Rhinolophus ferrumequinum: one gene and its partner. The protein of the gene in region 1 interacts with the protein of each later gene in a pairwise test. Links are inferred from orthologs where the notes say so. Each region holds a gene or a part of one and is shown on either strand. Other genes may lie near its edges.

Region 1 (7,602 bases):
CTTAGTGATTTGCCTAAGAAGGCAGAAGTGACTTTCAAGGCTAGGTCCTAGAAGGCTTGAGGTTTCCACCTGGGGTTCTCTGGGAACAACTCACGTCACTCTCTCTGTGGGCCCTGAGCTGCCATAAGTCTGAATATCCTGGGGTCTCCTTAACTTTTTGAGGGATCATGTATCCCTGATGAAAGTTATGGGCCCTTTCTCCCGTAAAAAAAGAAAGGAAAAAACATATGCACAAATACTCACAAAACACTCCATAACAATTTCAGTGAATTTTCAGCCCTTTAGGTCCACGAAACTTGGGTTTAAAATGTTTGAGATGATTATTTTTTAATGGTCCACAAATCCACTGGACAATGCTGGATTGTTAGAATTGCAAAAAAGTGTTTCACTCAAATTCCAAATATAATATTCTTTAATCAATGGAGAACCCAGCAATTTAAGTCTTCTATGAATTTAATGCCCCCCTATTTTAACCTGAAATTATTACTCAATTTCAGTATCTTAGCACCAGACAATAACCTCCTGAAAGGTGCCTCAGAAAAGACATTCTAACAAAACTTTGTTTAAATAAAGATTGTCTTTTGGGGGCACTGGTTCAGACTCATGCTGCTGATATTGCACAGTGGTAACTTGGGATTCTTACTCCCGTTCATAAGCCTCTTAAAGGTAAGAGTTCAACTTTATACCTCTTTAAATTCTTAGCACCCAACATGAAATTGTACTGGGTCCCAATTGTTAATGATGCTGGTCTATCAGACTAGAACAATTCTCAAACTTTTTGGTCTCAGGACTTCTTTATGCTCTTAGAAATTATTTAGACCCCCCTCCCCATAAAATTTTTGTCAGGTTGGTTATATCTATTGAGGTTTATAGTATTAGACATTGAAACTGAGAAATGTTTTAAAGATTAATTCATTTAAAAATAACAAACCCTTCATATATCAGCAAATAACAGTTTTATTAAAAAGTTTTCAGAACAAAACTAATGAGAAGAGTGGCACTGTTCCTCATTTTTGCAAATCTCTTTAATGTCTGGCTTAATAGAAAGCAGTTGGCTTTTCACATCTCCTTCTACATTTCAATCTGTTGTGATATCACAGGTCACGTTAGTCTTTAGAAAACTCCACTGAACACTCATGAAAGAACCAGAATGAAAAAGACCAACAATGTCCTAGTATTATCATGAAAATAATTTTGAGGCCCCCTAAAAAAGAATCTAAAGAACCTCTGGCCTAAAACCACCTGTTAGTGTCTTAGGTCCTTTATTTCTTCCTTCATGTCTTTCTAAATGACCAGAATTCAAACTGGAGCAATAAACTCTACAATTTACTTTATAATTCTTTCTGTACATTACTCTTTCATCACACTATAGTAAATTTCAACATGCTTCCTAGTCACTTCTGAGCATCAAAATAAAAGGCTGATGAAAACTAAGCATTTACACCTGTTCATTTACTCCCTGGTAACCAAGTAAACAACTATCTAGGTAGATACTTATAACGGCCATTCCCATACCAACTTGGGAATTAACCTAGACCGTTAGTAATAAGATCCCCAAAACTAATCTAGATTATGGTTAAACTTTAAAATTTTTTATGTACATTTTGCACACTAGTACAAATCCACAAAAGCCGAACTCGCTCTCACCAAGCTGTAGAAAGAAAACTGACCCGGGTTAAATGCCAAGAGAATATAAGTGTGTTAAATTTTTAAGTTCAAGTACATTAGGGAGTTGACTGAAAGTTTTCTAGATAACTATCACTAAACAAGCAAAGGTCTAAAAATACTTTGAAAAGTCAAAGTCGTCTGAGCAAACAAAAGACCAGACAAAAACCTTATTAATTAAAAACTAGCCGTAAAACGTGGTTAACTAGGAAAATATGAAAAACTTACCACGGAAAATCGAACGCTCCTGATTTAAGTACAAATCCCAAGTAAATCATTGATATTAACATTAAGACGGAGCACTTTGCCGTAACAGGCAGCTTTCTGCAAATGTCCTGCAACGGCTCTACGAGTATATACACGAGTATATACAGTATTCCTATCCTTTTCCTCAAAAGTATCAGTCATCTCCAGGTTAATGCCCAGGGGAAATGTTTTCTGTTGCTCGAGCGGTTTTGTTCTACTTTGTTTCTTGGTTATTCTGAGTGCTCCCTTACAAATGGAGAGTTGCTGAACCAATCCCGAGTAAGAAATGGAAAAGTACAAGAAAAGAGGCGACAGCTCTGCACCCCCACACGGAAAAAGACTCAGAAAAGAGCCGCGGCGGCCCGGCCCCCGCCGCAATCCGAACGGAAAGCAGTGCTTTCTAGGTTCCCAGCAACACCAGACAATGTCTCCCTCCCCTCCCCGCCCCAACGTCCCTACTCCAGGGCTACCCAAAACCCGAGAACCAAAAAGTGGAGTCCAGGCGCTTTTCAGGGCCACGAAGCCTCCCGGGCAGACTCTCTCCCGTTACATAACTGGGGCCTAGAGCCCTGCTTCGGCAACCAGTCCTCTGGGAGGGAGGCAGACAGGTTCCCCGGGGACCCACCCTCCCCGGGAGGTGGAAGCTGGGCTCTGCAAGGGGGACGACCTGCGGGAGGCCGCGACCAGAGACGCTGTGGCAGAGGGTGATGAGCGAGCCCGGAGAGGGGCAGGACGGCTCCCGGAGGCCCGCGGCAGGCCCCGCCGTCTCCGGCCCTAGTCCACTCCCCTCTCTCGCCCGCCGAGTCCCCACCGGCCGCCCCCTCCCCCATTCTGCGCTCCCCTCCCCCGCGCCTCCATCCCTGGCTCCAGCCCAGCGGCAGGCGGACCTGCCGAGGAAGGCCCCAGTCACCGCCATCGGACGGCCGCCGGCCCGGTACCTGGTCAGACATAGTGACGGTGGCTTCCCCCGGGGTCTCCGCACAGCAGCGGCCTCGGGCACGCAGAACCTCGCTCCGGGGTTTACAAATCCGTCTCTCTTCCCCACAGCACAACACCGCGGCTGGAGGGACTTCCGCTACTGCTTGCGTCACTTCCGCTACGCGCTGGGAGCAGGGATAGGGAAAAGAGGCGAGGCGGGAAAACGGGTGGGGGCTACACCGACACGGGGGGCTCGGTGCTAGATCAGCTGCTTGACTGGTGGTCGCGCGAGCGAATTAACAACCTTCTCGTCTGCTCCATCGAAGACCAGGCACCTCAATCCCGAGACCAGAGGAAAAGTTCCCCGTCCCCAGTATCAATGTTTGGGACAGTACTGACAGCCCAGACTCCTCCCTCTCCGACACCTTGCGCGTTTCTGAAGGCTGAACCAAGAAACTTCTATTGTCTCCTGGCCTTGCTCGTCAACCTCCCGAAAGAAATTGGATTGAATACCAGTGCTTCTTACCCTCGAGCTAACATTTTTGATTTAGCGCTCTCTCTCTCTCTCTCTCTCTCTCTCTCTCTCTCTCTCTCTCTCTCTCTCTCTCTCTCTCACACACACACACACACACACACACACACACACACACACACACACACCACGCGGTCACATGACCTTGATTGGGGGGCCGGAGGCAAAACAAAACAAAACAAGGATCCCATTGGACACGATCTTGATGGCTACTGATGGCTACTTGATGGCTGCTGAAAGTTCTAAACTGTTGGGGAGCAGTAGCTAATTCTGACTCTTGAATTCGTTGCTTTGAGTTAAGGAATGATCCCCCTATGATTTCTTCTTTAAAATACAATGGCCCTACTGACAAATGCATAGAGAATAAGGATGTAGACAAATGAAATAGAATAGTTTCAGAAGTAAATCAGTAAGCCCTCACACATCAATAATTTTCGACAAGAATACCAAGAATTAAATGGTGAAAGAAGTCTTTCAACATATGTTGTTGGGACAACTGAATATCCACGTGCAAAATAATGAATTTGGATCACTACCTTAGAACATATGAAAAATTAACTTAGAATGGATCAAGGCCTAAATGTAAGAGCTAAAACTCTTAGGAGAAAACAGGCATAAATCTTCTTGACCTTGGATTAGGGGGTGGCTTCTTGTATATGATACCAAAAGCACAACCAACCAAACGAAAATAAATTGGACTTCATTGAAGTAAAAAACTTTTGTCTTTTGTGTTCAAGAGACAACCTAAAAAAAGGGAGAAGATATTTGCAAATATATCTATAAGGGTTAATACTCAAACTATATAAAGAACTAAGAACTATTACAATTCAATAATAAAACGACAAATAATCCAACTTAAAAATAGACCCAAAAAATCTAAATAGACATTTCTTCAAAGGAGATACAAATGGGCAAATGGAGATGCTCAATATCATCAGCAATCAAGGAAATGCAAATTAAAGCCACAATGAAATAACGCTTCACACACACTAGGATATCTATAATTTAAAGGACAGATGATAATAAGAAGTGTTGACAAAGATATAGAAAAATTATAACCCTCATACACTACTTAGTGGGACTATAAAATGCTTTGAAAAACATTCTGGCAGTTCCTCAAACTGTTAAATATAAAGTTACCATGATCCAGCAATTCTATTCCTATATATATATATACACCCAACAGAATTGATGACACATGTCCACACAAAAACATGTACTCAAATATTCACAGAAACATTATTCATAATAGCAAAAAATGTAGAAATAACCCAAATAAATGTCCATCAACTGATTAATGGAAAACAAAAGTAATGTACCCATACAATGGAATACCATTAGGCCATAAAAAGGAATGAAGTACTCATACAATATGGATGAAACTAGAAGATATTATGCTAAGTGAAAGTAGCCAGTCATAAAGTATGATTCCATTAATATGACATGTCCAGAATAGGCAAAGCTATAGAGACAGAAAATAGATTAGTAGACTACTGCTCCAGACTTCAACTAGGGCTGGAAAATTAGGGGGAAATGGGAAGTGATACAGGTTTTCTTTTGGAAGTGATGAAAATGCTGTAAATGCTCAAATACATTGTGATGATGGTTGCACAGCTCTGGGAAACTGGTAAAAAACTGAAAATTGTACATTTTAAATAGGAAACTCTATGATATGTTAATTATATCTCAAGAAAATTGTTATATAAAAAAACAAAAATAAGATACAATGGCCCTAAGACAGCAGCTAATAATAAGTAAAGTATTATTAAGGGAACAGGTAGGACATTTACATCCAACCAGGATGACTGTGAAAATCTTCCAAAGAAATAAAATAAAACCTAAATTGAAATCCAAAGGGTAAGTTTACATCAGCTACAGCAGCAATTCCTAAACAGTTTGGTCCCAGAACTGCTTTAAACTTTTAAAAATTACGGAAGACCTCGAAGAACTTTTGTTCATGTCATTTCCACCAATATTTAACATATTAGAAATTAAAACCGAGAAAAAAATTTTAAATATGTATTAATTTGTTGAAAAACAATAAGCCCTTGATGGGCACAAATAACATATTTGTATGAAAAATGACCATGTTTTCTAAATTTAAAAAAAAAAACTAGTGAGAGAGTGGCAGTGTTTTTCATTTTTACAAATGTCTTTAATTATTTTAAGCCCTGGCTTGATAGAAGACAGCAAGATAGTTTATAGCTACTTCTTCATTCAATTGTTGCCATATTTGTTGCAATTTGTTTATGTAAAGGAAATTCAGTCTCATACAGATATGTAATTGGAGGAGGGGGAAGGATGGGTATAATAGCTTGTTCAGATAGTTGAATATTTTCTTTGATACCACACCTAAACTCGACAAGTGGTAGTTTCTTAATTGAAATGTGGAACTTGAAACCATGTCAATGACCTTTCTGAGTTCTTTTACATTAAAAAAATCAGTGGTCTACCTTACACTTTGGGTAGATATTATACTCATATGTAATTTTGTAACATAATGGATTTGTCATTTAGAAAACATTGCTTCGCTGAGTTATACAGATCTCCTAAATGTCGACACATTTCATTATACAATATCTAAAAATCATATTCATTATTTTCACAGACTCATCAGAAAAAGTCTTTAAATCTTGGGAAACTGCCAAACTCACAGTGATGAATACAAATTCTCCAAAATACTAATTTTTGCATAAAAGCTCAAATTTTGTCATTGACAACAAATACTGTCAGTTATTTTCTTTAAGTGTTAAGCTCATTTATTCATTTTTAAGAAATCGTCTGCAGTATTTCCAAATCTGAATAACAACTATTAACCTGTCATTTATTCTGTCACATAAAAATGATGTTAGATTTTTTAAGTGGCTAAATCAGCTTATAATTCTCACTTGTGTACTTTTCCTCCCCTTCCTCTCCCTCATCTTTCCCTTCTCTTCTCTCCTCCCTTTCTTCTCTACCTCTCCCTTCTCCCCCTCCTCAGCTTCTGTTGTCACATCTTCTCTGATTCTGACCCTGTCTCCCTCTTATAAGAAGTCTTGTAATTACATTGAACTTCCCAAATAATCCGGGATAACCACACCATCTCAAGATCCTTAATCACATACAAGTATGCAAAGTTCCTTTTGCCACGTAAGGTAACATATTCACAAGTTTTGGCGATTAGGAAGTAGACATCTTTGGGAGGCCATTATTCAGCCTACCATAATTAATTTTTCACTGTTTTATCCAGGACATTCATAGGTGACACTAGTTTTTTTCTCCAAGCGCATCACAGTGAGGAACAAAATGGATACTAGCACAGTATCACTGTCTTGACTCCTGCTAAGATGCCAGCAGTTTTACAAACCACTGATTTACACTATCGATGGTAATGTTCACACAGTGAAAAAAGTAAATGTCTTAATATTATTATGAAAATAGTTTTGATTTTGAAGAGCCCCTGAAAAGGTCTCAGGTCCTCCAGTAGTCCACAGACCATATTTTGAGCTAGAGGAAGGGAGGAAAGAGATTTCCTGGCCTAGAGAAGTGGTAAGAGAGAACGAAGCAAGCACGACAAGTTCTGTACAGTAGGAGCATGGTTTGTGAGGTAGGAGGTAGAAAAAAAAAATACCGGGAAGGAAAGTAACAACCCATTCACTGAAAATCTAGTAAACTATATTAAGAAATTTGGACTTAATCATGAAAGGCATAATGTTGGAAGTAGAGGGGTGTAGGAGGCACTAAGTGTTTTTAAGCAGGGGAAGTGATAATATCAGCTTGTGGTGTACAAAAGAGAGGGAAATAAGTTAGGAAGCTGTAGTAGTAGTCCAGAAAAAAAAGACAGTAATAGGGAATTAGATCAATGGAAGTAGAGATGGAAATAGAGATGATACAATTAGCAGGTTTTGGTGGTTGATTAGAATCTGATTTGAGTCACTTGACATGGTGATATTATTTTAAGATTTAATAGAAAAATTTGGAGATGAGGACCATAGATTTGCAAAGAAAACAAAAAGATTAGTTTTAGACATGAATGTGCAATGCCCAGAATCATCCAAGGAAAGATGTCCAAGAAGCAGTTGATATAATTTGGAGCACTAAGAGAAATCTGGGCTGAAGATACGAGATTTGGAAGTCTTTAGCCTATAATTGTTGTTGATGATGATAATTGTTAAGATTTATTGAGTGGCAGACCCTCTTCCAAGTGCTATACCTTTCTTATTTCACTTAATCCTATATAGTGAGTACTAATAACTATCTTC
Region 2 (7,215 bases), on another chromosome or scaffold:
TCCTAGTAAACCTGAACCTGCTCTATGAGAATTGTGTCCAGTGTTTAAAAACTGACTCAGCAAGGGTTTCCCATAGAAAACTTACAGCTTTTCAAGCACATCCTGTTTTTATTTTAAAAGAAAGTTCTGACTGACTAGCAATACTAAGGCAGTTCCCCGCACACAGGATGCGTCTTTATTTCTTTCAAATGTTTTAAAATAAAAAAAAAAAACAAATTATTAAAAAAAAATTTTAATTCCCATCCCTCATGCCCCTCCTCTGGCAACCATCAGCGTACTCTCTATATCTAAGGGTCTGTTTCCGCTTTGTTTTGTTTATTCATTTATTTTGTTTTAGATTCCCCACATAATAGAGATCATATGGTATCTCACTTTCTGATTGGTAAAATGACAGTCCCTGAAAGCAAAAACGTGTGGGTTTTGTCTGTCCATCTTAAATGTTTGTACCTTTCATGGATCATCTTTGAGGATCGGTTTGGATTTCAGGAGCAGGACAATCTCAGTAAGGAAAACCACTTTCTGACTTCTTCATCACACCCCGCATTCCGCTACAGCTGCCACACTCGCCTGAATGCATTTGCCAACTTTGGCCATCGTGGTGACCCTTAGCTCTCAGCCCATACTGCTCATCAAACGTCTACTCTGGACCCTGCGTTTGCAGACAAGACCGAAGGGAGTTTTGAGGCCTGCACACCATCTCTCCTTTCCAGCTGTCACCTTCCGCACCTCTGCACACCCCCAGTGGGCACTGGTGGGCTACTGGACCAGGCTCTCCTCTCACTCCGAAGCTTGGTTTAGGGAGGAGAGACCCTGCCCAGGTGCAGCAGCCTCTTTCCATTCCTGCCCAGGGCAGCTCTGTGTCCACTCAGGTCTCACTGTCCGTGGGGGTGACGGGCTGGCTGCCCCCTCCACTTCAGATTTCCGGACTGGTAGCTTGCCAGTGGCCTCCAGACTAGAGGCCCATCTAACTAACAGCAGTGGCACTGGAGAATCCCTGCTGTGGGCTGAGGGGGTGGATTTCCGTGCTTGTGGGGAAGCTTCCTGAGCTTAGAGAGCATGCGGCAGCGGGGATGGGAGGGTGATTTAGCGCCCCCACCTCTGCGAAGGACCACATACCTAGCATATCCTACAGACTGCCAGATCCAGAGTCTGCACCTTGCCCAAGAAGGGGACCGAAAGTTTTACATTGTGGGATATTGATTTTCAAGCTGGTTACTAAGAAACAAAAGACCCAGAAAGAACCTTTGCTCCCCCACCCCTTCCTGCTCAAGAGAATCAGACAGAAAAACCTGCTTCAGGGAGGAAACTTAGCATAATGGCTGGTCACTACACAGGGAGACTCCACGCGGGAGCCTGTGGACCATCCCGCCAGAGTCCCATTGTGTGGACCATCCCGCCAGAGTCCCATTGTCTCGGGGTTGGTTGCCCAGCAAGAATTTGCCTGCCAGGCTGTTCCATCTTCCTTAACTACCTGTAAATCACCCATTCTCACTTCTGAAATCTAATACCCCATCCCCCCTTTTCTCCTTTGTCCATAATGTCATGTATACCCAGTGTTGCCTCGCTGCCTGGAATTTTCCTGCTTCTGTGAATTCCCCTTTCATATGTACTAAAACTTGATTTTCTCCTGTTAATCTGTCTCTGTTAATTTGATTATTAACCCAGAGAGAAGCACACAGGTGGGAGGAAAAGTATTTTTTCCAGCACTCACACTCATAAATCAGACTAGATCTTAAAATAATCTCGCAGGACTTACATTTGCATTTTCTCTTGAAAGTGTTCTGCTTTCTAAAAGCCCAGACATTTAAATATTTTATTATTAAACGGGAGAACATCTCCACTTTACCCTAATGCTCTCTCCGTAGACACACTGAGCTGAGTGTCGGGATGTGGGGAGAAGGGAAGAGGAAAGAATGGGGGGGGGGGGTCACCTCGGAGGTGGTGGAGGTGGGGAGAGCAGGTGTGCTCCAAAACAGAAAGGTGACACCCAGCCTTTGGGACTGACAGCTGACGGTTAGTATCACTTGACCGTACTTCCAACAAAAACTTGATTTAAAATTTGACCTAACTCCGAGAAGCCCACATGCACCGCTCTCGGTGGCTGCTGGGTTACTTCCGTCAGCCCCTAGCACATCCTGCCTCGGTTTATCCCCGCAAATGACAATGGACCCGGAGTGTGAGTCTGCCCCACTCAGTGGCACCCTGCTGCACAAACTTAAGGGGCACCTCCCCGGTGGGTGGGGCTATGCGGCGCAGGGCACTTCGGCGCATGCCTGGTCTCTCCCAGCAGGAGGTCCTTCCCACGGGGCTGCGCCCGTACCCAGAGCTTCCTCGCAAGGACGCTCAGCTCCAGCCGCTCATACTCTGCAGGGTCCGTGAAGGCCCTTTGTCCATCAGCTTCCAAGGAATCCCCGGGGCTGACCTGTCCGCTTTGAACGCGTTAGCTGGATAAGTCAACAATAAAAAGTGGTCGGCTTTTGGGGTGGGCTCGGAGACCATGCAGCGGTGGATGTGAAACTTTTTCAGTGCGTCGCCCTTAACCCGCTCTTTCAGAGACCCCATTGGCTCCCATCCCCAGTACCTTCCCACCTCCTCAAGCAGAAAAGCCACCGGTTCGGGGGCTGTTTGGGATCGGTCACCCAGGAGCCTCAGCAGCCGTTGCTCTGAAGTAGAATCAAGCGCGCTCTCGGCCCAGCCAGCATCAGTGTTGTTCTCATTCTCATTCAGCATCATTACTATTACTAGCCCCGCAATGCCCACACCGCCGAGCGCTCCCTCTGCAACCAGCCTCCCTCTGCAAACGCCCTCCTTCGAGCCTCCCGCAGCCGGCCGGAGGGTGCACGGACCCGGGAGCGCGATACTCACCCGTCTCCTCACTGCCGCGAGTGCGGCACCCTCACCACTCTCCGGCTTTAAGTGGTGTGTGTGCTCCGCCCTCCGCTCCAGTCAGGCCAGGCCGCGGGGAAACGAAACTCTCCTACCCCGAGGGGCCGGAGGGAACAGAAACGAAACCGAATCCGTCGCCCCGCCCCCCCACCCCTCCTACCCCCCCCCCCCCGCGCGGAGCTGCAGCCTCAGCAAGGCGCTCCGAGTGCGCGCCCGGCACCAAAGCATCCTCAGCCCTGGGAGCTCTGGAGCCTCGCAGACTCTCCAGCCGCACGACAAGATGGAAGCACACAACCTTCCACCTGAATTGCTGGCGATTCCTTCTCTGCTAAAGAAACATCGATTACTCTGTGTTCTCCCAAACGACTTGTGTACTCTTCGCCCTCGAGGACTGTCCACCAGGCTCAGCGCCCCACTCATCGCCACCATCACACTTCTGCGGGCCAGCCCTTCTCCCACAGGCTCCCGGAGACAGCCTCCTTCCCTGCCAAGTCCCAACTGCGATGTGCCCTATCCGCAGCGGCCCCTGGGAGCTCCTTCCAAGCCTGGGTCGTGCTTCATCCCGCCCCCCACTGGCTTCGCTAAGACTAAGATGCAGTTCATCTCGGATGGATGTCCTGGATTGTGGGGGATGTGGCCCCAGCCCCTGCTGCCTGCGCACCAACGGGTGACTAGGGTCCTCGTACAGCCCTCTCGTCACCTGCTAGGGCTGGCCCAGGTGTGTCAAGGAGAGCTGAGCTGGCATTAATGAAAAGCAATGCTTCCAGCTCCCTACGGCCCCAACTGGGCATTTTCTCAAAACGGGAAGCACACTGCATTCCATAAAAATGCTGCGAGTTGCCCCGCTGCCGGGGTGGGCATTCCTACGCAGCGTGGTGTGCCAGGCCTGCCTGTGCCCTGCCTCACCTTGCCCCAGGACCACTGCTGGGATGTTGCCCCTCTTTGCTGCAGCCCAAGGCGCTCCTCCTCGCCCCCGCCCCCTTCTCCAGGCCTAGGGGACTTGCTCCCTGGGATCCCCGTGTTCTCCCCCACGCCCCTGTGGAGTGGGGCCTCGTCACATTGTCTTGGCCTCTGTGGCCGTGAACATGGGGAGGGACCAGGTCCATGAAGCTTGCTGTTGCACTCGGAATCCAGCATAGTTGCTGGCACAGTGTTTCAATACATGTTTCTGGAAGACAGGAATGAGTGAATGTATGAATGAATGATGGGTAGGACCGGCTCTGGTCTTGCAGACGTGGTCCTCAAGTGACCTCCGGACAGATTCCCTACGCCTCTCAGTTTCCTCCGTAGTCTCCCCGCCTCTCCTTCCCTGTCTCCGTTTCTAGTCAACTCAGATTCGGTTTCAGTTTCTTTTCTCCTCCTGGGTTCACAGAAAAGTAAGTTAGATGAAGCAACAATAGAATCCTAAATCCAGGAGCTGGGGAGAAGGGGGCGGAGCCCCGAGGAGGAGGAGGAGGGCGGAGCCCAGAGGAGGTTCTCTGGCCCCAGGCCTCTCAGACGTGGCTGAACCTGGCCACGGTTCTGCCTGTGTCACGTGCCTCGAGGAAGTGGGGGCAGGAGGGGGGCGCGGGACTGCTCGGCAGCCCTGAACCACTGGGATAATACTCCCACGCCTGTGAGGAGGGGCCAAAGGGCCGGAAAGAGCGCCCCCGCCCAGCGTCCTCTCTGTCTGGCCCGGAGCACTGGTCCTGCCCCAGGTGTCATTGGCCCCAATTCGTTTTCTCCTCTATGTTTGTGGCATAAACCAGTCCTTCTCAAAGGGTGGTGCCCCGACCAGAAGCATTGGCTTCAGGGATTGGGGCCACCCCAAAATCACTGAATCAATCTGCATGTTAAGGGGATTCTCCACGTGTTTCATTTGCAATTAAAGCACCAGAAGGCAGGCACCACCAAGGTTGTTATTTATCTGGTCTTAAAGGGCCAGGCTTTGCCTTCTTATCTGCCCCAGGTCCCCCAGCGAGCCCTGTCCCGAGGAGACAGATACTGAAAGCCTGGTAGAGCTGAGCTGGGGACCCTGGGTCCTGGCTTGGTGTACACATGGCCCAGTGCACAGTCACTGGGGAAAGGTCGGTGGCCATTGCGAAATCGTTTTTTCCAGGATAGGGCCAACTGTCCCTATGGCATTCACCCGATGAAAATTTATTTTTCATATGGTGAAGGCAGGTGTCTCCTGCCTTCCCAGGACCTCTCCCCAGAAGGCTAATGGGTATTGACTCAGCTTGTTCTTTCCATCAGTTCTTCAAATTCCAACTCAGGCTGCTTCATTCCTCCTCTGCCACAACTGGGCTCCACATTTCACAGTACAGGTAGTGGAGAGACCCCAATGCAATATCTCTGTATTAAAAATGCTGTCTCTTGGGCTGGCCTGGTGGCTCAGGTGGTTGGAGCTCCATGCTCCTAACGCCAAAGGCTGCCGGTTCGATTCCCACATGGGCCAGTGGGCTCTCAACCACAAGGTTGCCGGTTCGATTGCTCAACTCCCAAAAGGCATGGTGGGCTGCGCCCCCTGCAACTAAGATTGAACATGGCACCTGAGCTGCCGCTGAGCTGCTGGATGGCTCAGTCGGTTGGAGCATGGGCTCTCAACCACAGGTTGCCAGTTTGACTCCCGCAAGGGATGGTGGGCTCTGCCCCCTGCAACTAACAATGGCAACTGGACCTTGAGCTGAGCTGTGCCCTCCATAACTAAGATTGAAAGGACAACAACTTGACTTGGTAAAAGTCCTGGAAGTACACGCTGTTCCCCAATAAAGTCCTGTTCCCCTTCCGCAATGAAATCTTAAAAAAAAAAAAAAAAAAATGCTGTCCCTTGGTTGTGAAGTGTTCATAGAATAGTGACTCCGTCAGGCACTGGGCTAATTTCTCTAAACACATGATCTTCCAATAGAGCAAAAACTAATCAAATAGGAAATGGAGATGTGGAGAAAATGGAGACGTGGAGAGGTAGACGCTTTCCCCCCACAAAGCTAGTGAGAAATGGAAACTGGGTCCTGTTGACCTTTAAAAAATAGCCAGATATTTCTCCAGTAAAATGGGTTTATTTGGAACAATAAAGAAGTGCAGTTCAGGTCATGCAGCCTAATGGCGAATCAAATAAAAGTCAGAGAATAAAAGAGAGGAACTTCTTTGTAGAGGAAAGAGGAGAGTTCAGAGGGGCTGTTGTAAACAAAAAGTCCATTGGAGGAAACTGGGAGTTTGTCTGAAGTTTAGTGGCTTTTCATTGGCTGAGTTGTAACCATCTTTTTTTTTTCTTAGTTTCAGGTGCACAAAACAATGTGATAGACATTTATCATTTATGTCCCTCACACAGTGACAACCCCCCCCTCCACTACCCCTCTGACATCGCACACAGCCATTACATCTCCACTGTCTCTATTCCTAATGCTGTACTCTGCTTCTTGTAACTATGTGTGTGTGTGTGTGTGTGTGTGTGTATACATATATAATTGTAGTTGATATTCATTATTTTTTTTTAAAGATTTTATTGGGGAAGGGGACCAGGACTTTATTGGGGAACAGTGTGTACTTCCACGACTTTTTTTTCCAAGTCAAGTTGTTGTCCTTTCAATCTTAGTTGTGGAGGGCGCAGCTGAGCTCCAGGTCCAGTTGCCGTTGCTAGTTGCAGGGGGCACAGCCCACCATCCCTTGCGGGAGTCGAACCCACAGCCTTGTGGTTGAGAGGACGTGCTCCAACCAACTGAGCCATTTGGGAGCTCAGCGGCAGCTCAGCTCAAGGTGCCTGTTCGATCTTAGTTGCAGGGGGCGGAGCTCACCATCCCTTGCGGGACTCGGGGAACTGAACTGGCAACTTTGTGGTTGAGAGCCCACTGGCCCATGTGGGAATCGAACCGGCCGCCTTCGGAGTTAGGAGCATGGAGCTCTAACCGCCTGAGCCACTGGGCCGGTCCCTGACATTCACTATTGTTCAGCTTCAGCTTCAGGTGTACGGTGCAGTGATCAGGCATCTACACCATCCCTGAGGTGGTCTCCCTAATGGGACAAGTGTCCATCGGATACCCTACAAAATCTTTACAACATTATTGATTACGTTCCCCAAATTGACTTTCGTTTCCCCGTGGCCATCTTGTGGTTACCGACTATACTTTCTAATCCCCTCACCTTCCCCCTTATCCCTCCCCCACCAATCTAGCAACCCTCAGCTTTTCCTCTATGTCTCTGAGACTGTTTCTGATTAGTTCATTCATTTATTCTTTTCTTTAGATTCCACATATAAGTGAGATCATATGGTATTTGTCTTTCTCTGTCTGACTTATTTCACTTAACATAATGTTCTCTAGGTCCATCCATATTGTAACCATCTTTCATTGG

Evidence for each region. The genes of interacting proteins can lie anywhere in the genome.
Region 2: the proteins of SUMO1 (region 1) and MX1 interact in a two-hybrid assay, tested with the Homo sapiens proteins (2 studies listed by BioGRID). The link is inferred for Rhinolophus ferrumequinum from reciprocal best matches to the Homo sapiens genes SUMO1 and MX1.

What each region holds. Positions count from the first base shown.
Region 1 is NC_046291.1:29,338,699-29,346,300, reverse strand, and holds the start of SUMO1 (small ubiquitin-related modifier 1), read right to left. Parts: upstream 3,007-7,602; 5' UTR 2,862-3,006; coding exon 2,850-2,861; intron 1-2,849. UniProt on the Homo sapiens protein: Ubiquitin-like protein that can be covalently attached to proteins as a monomer or a lysine-linked polymer.
Region 2 is NC_046285.1:105,591,687-105,598,901, reverse strand, and holds the start of MX1 (interferon-induced GTP-binding protein Mx1), read right to left. Parts: upstream 3,007-7,215; 5' UTR 2,866-3,006; intron 1-2,865.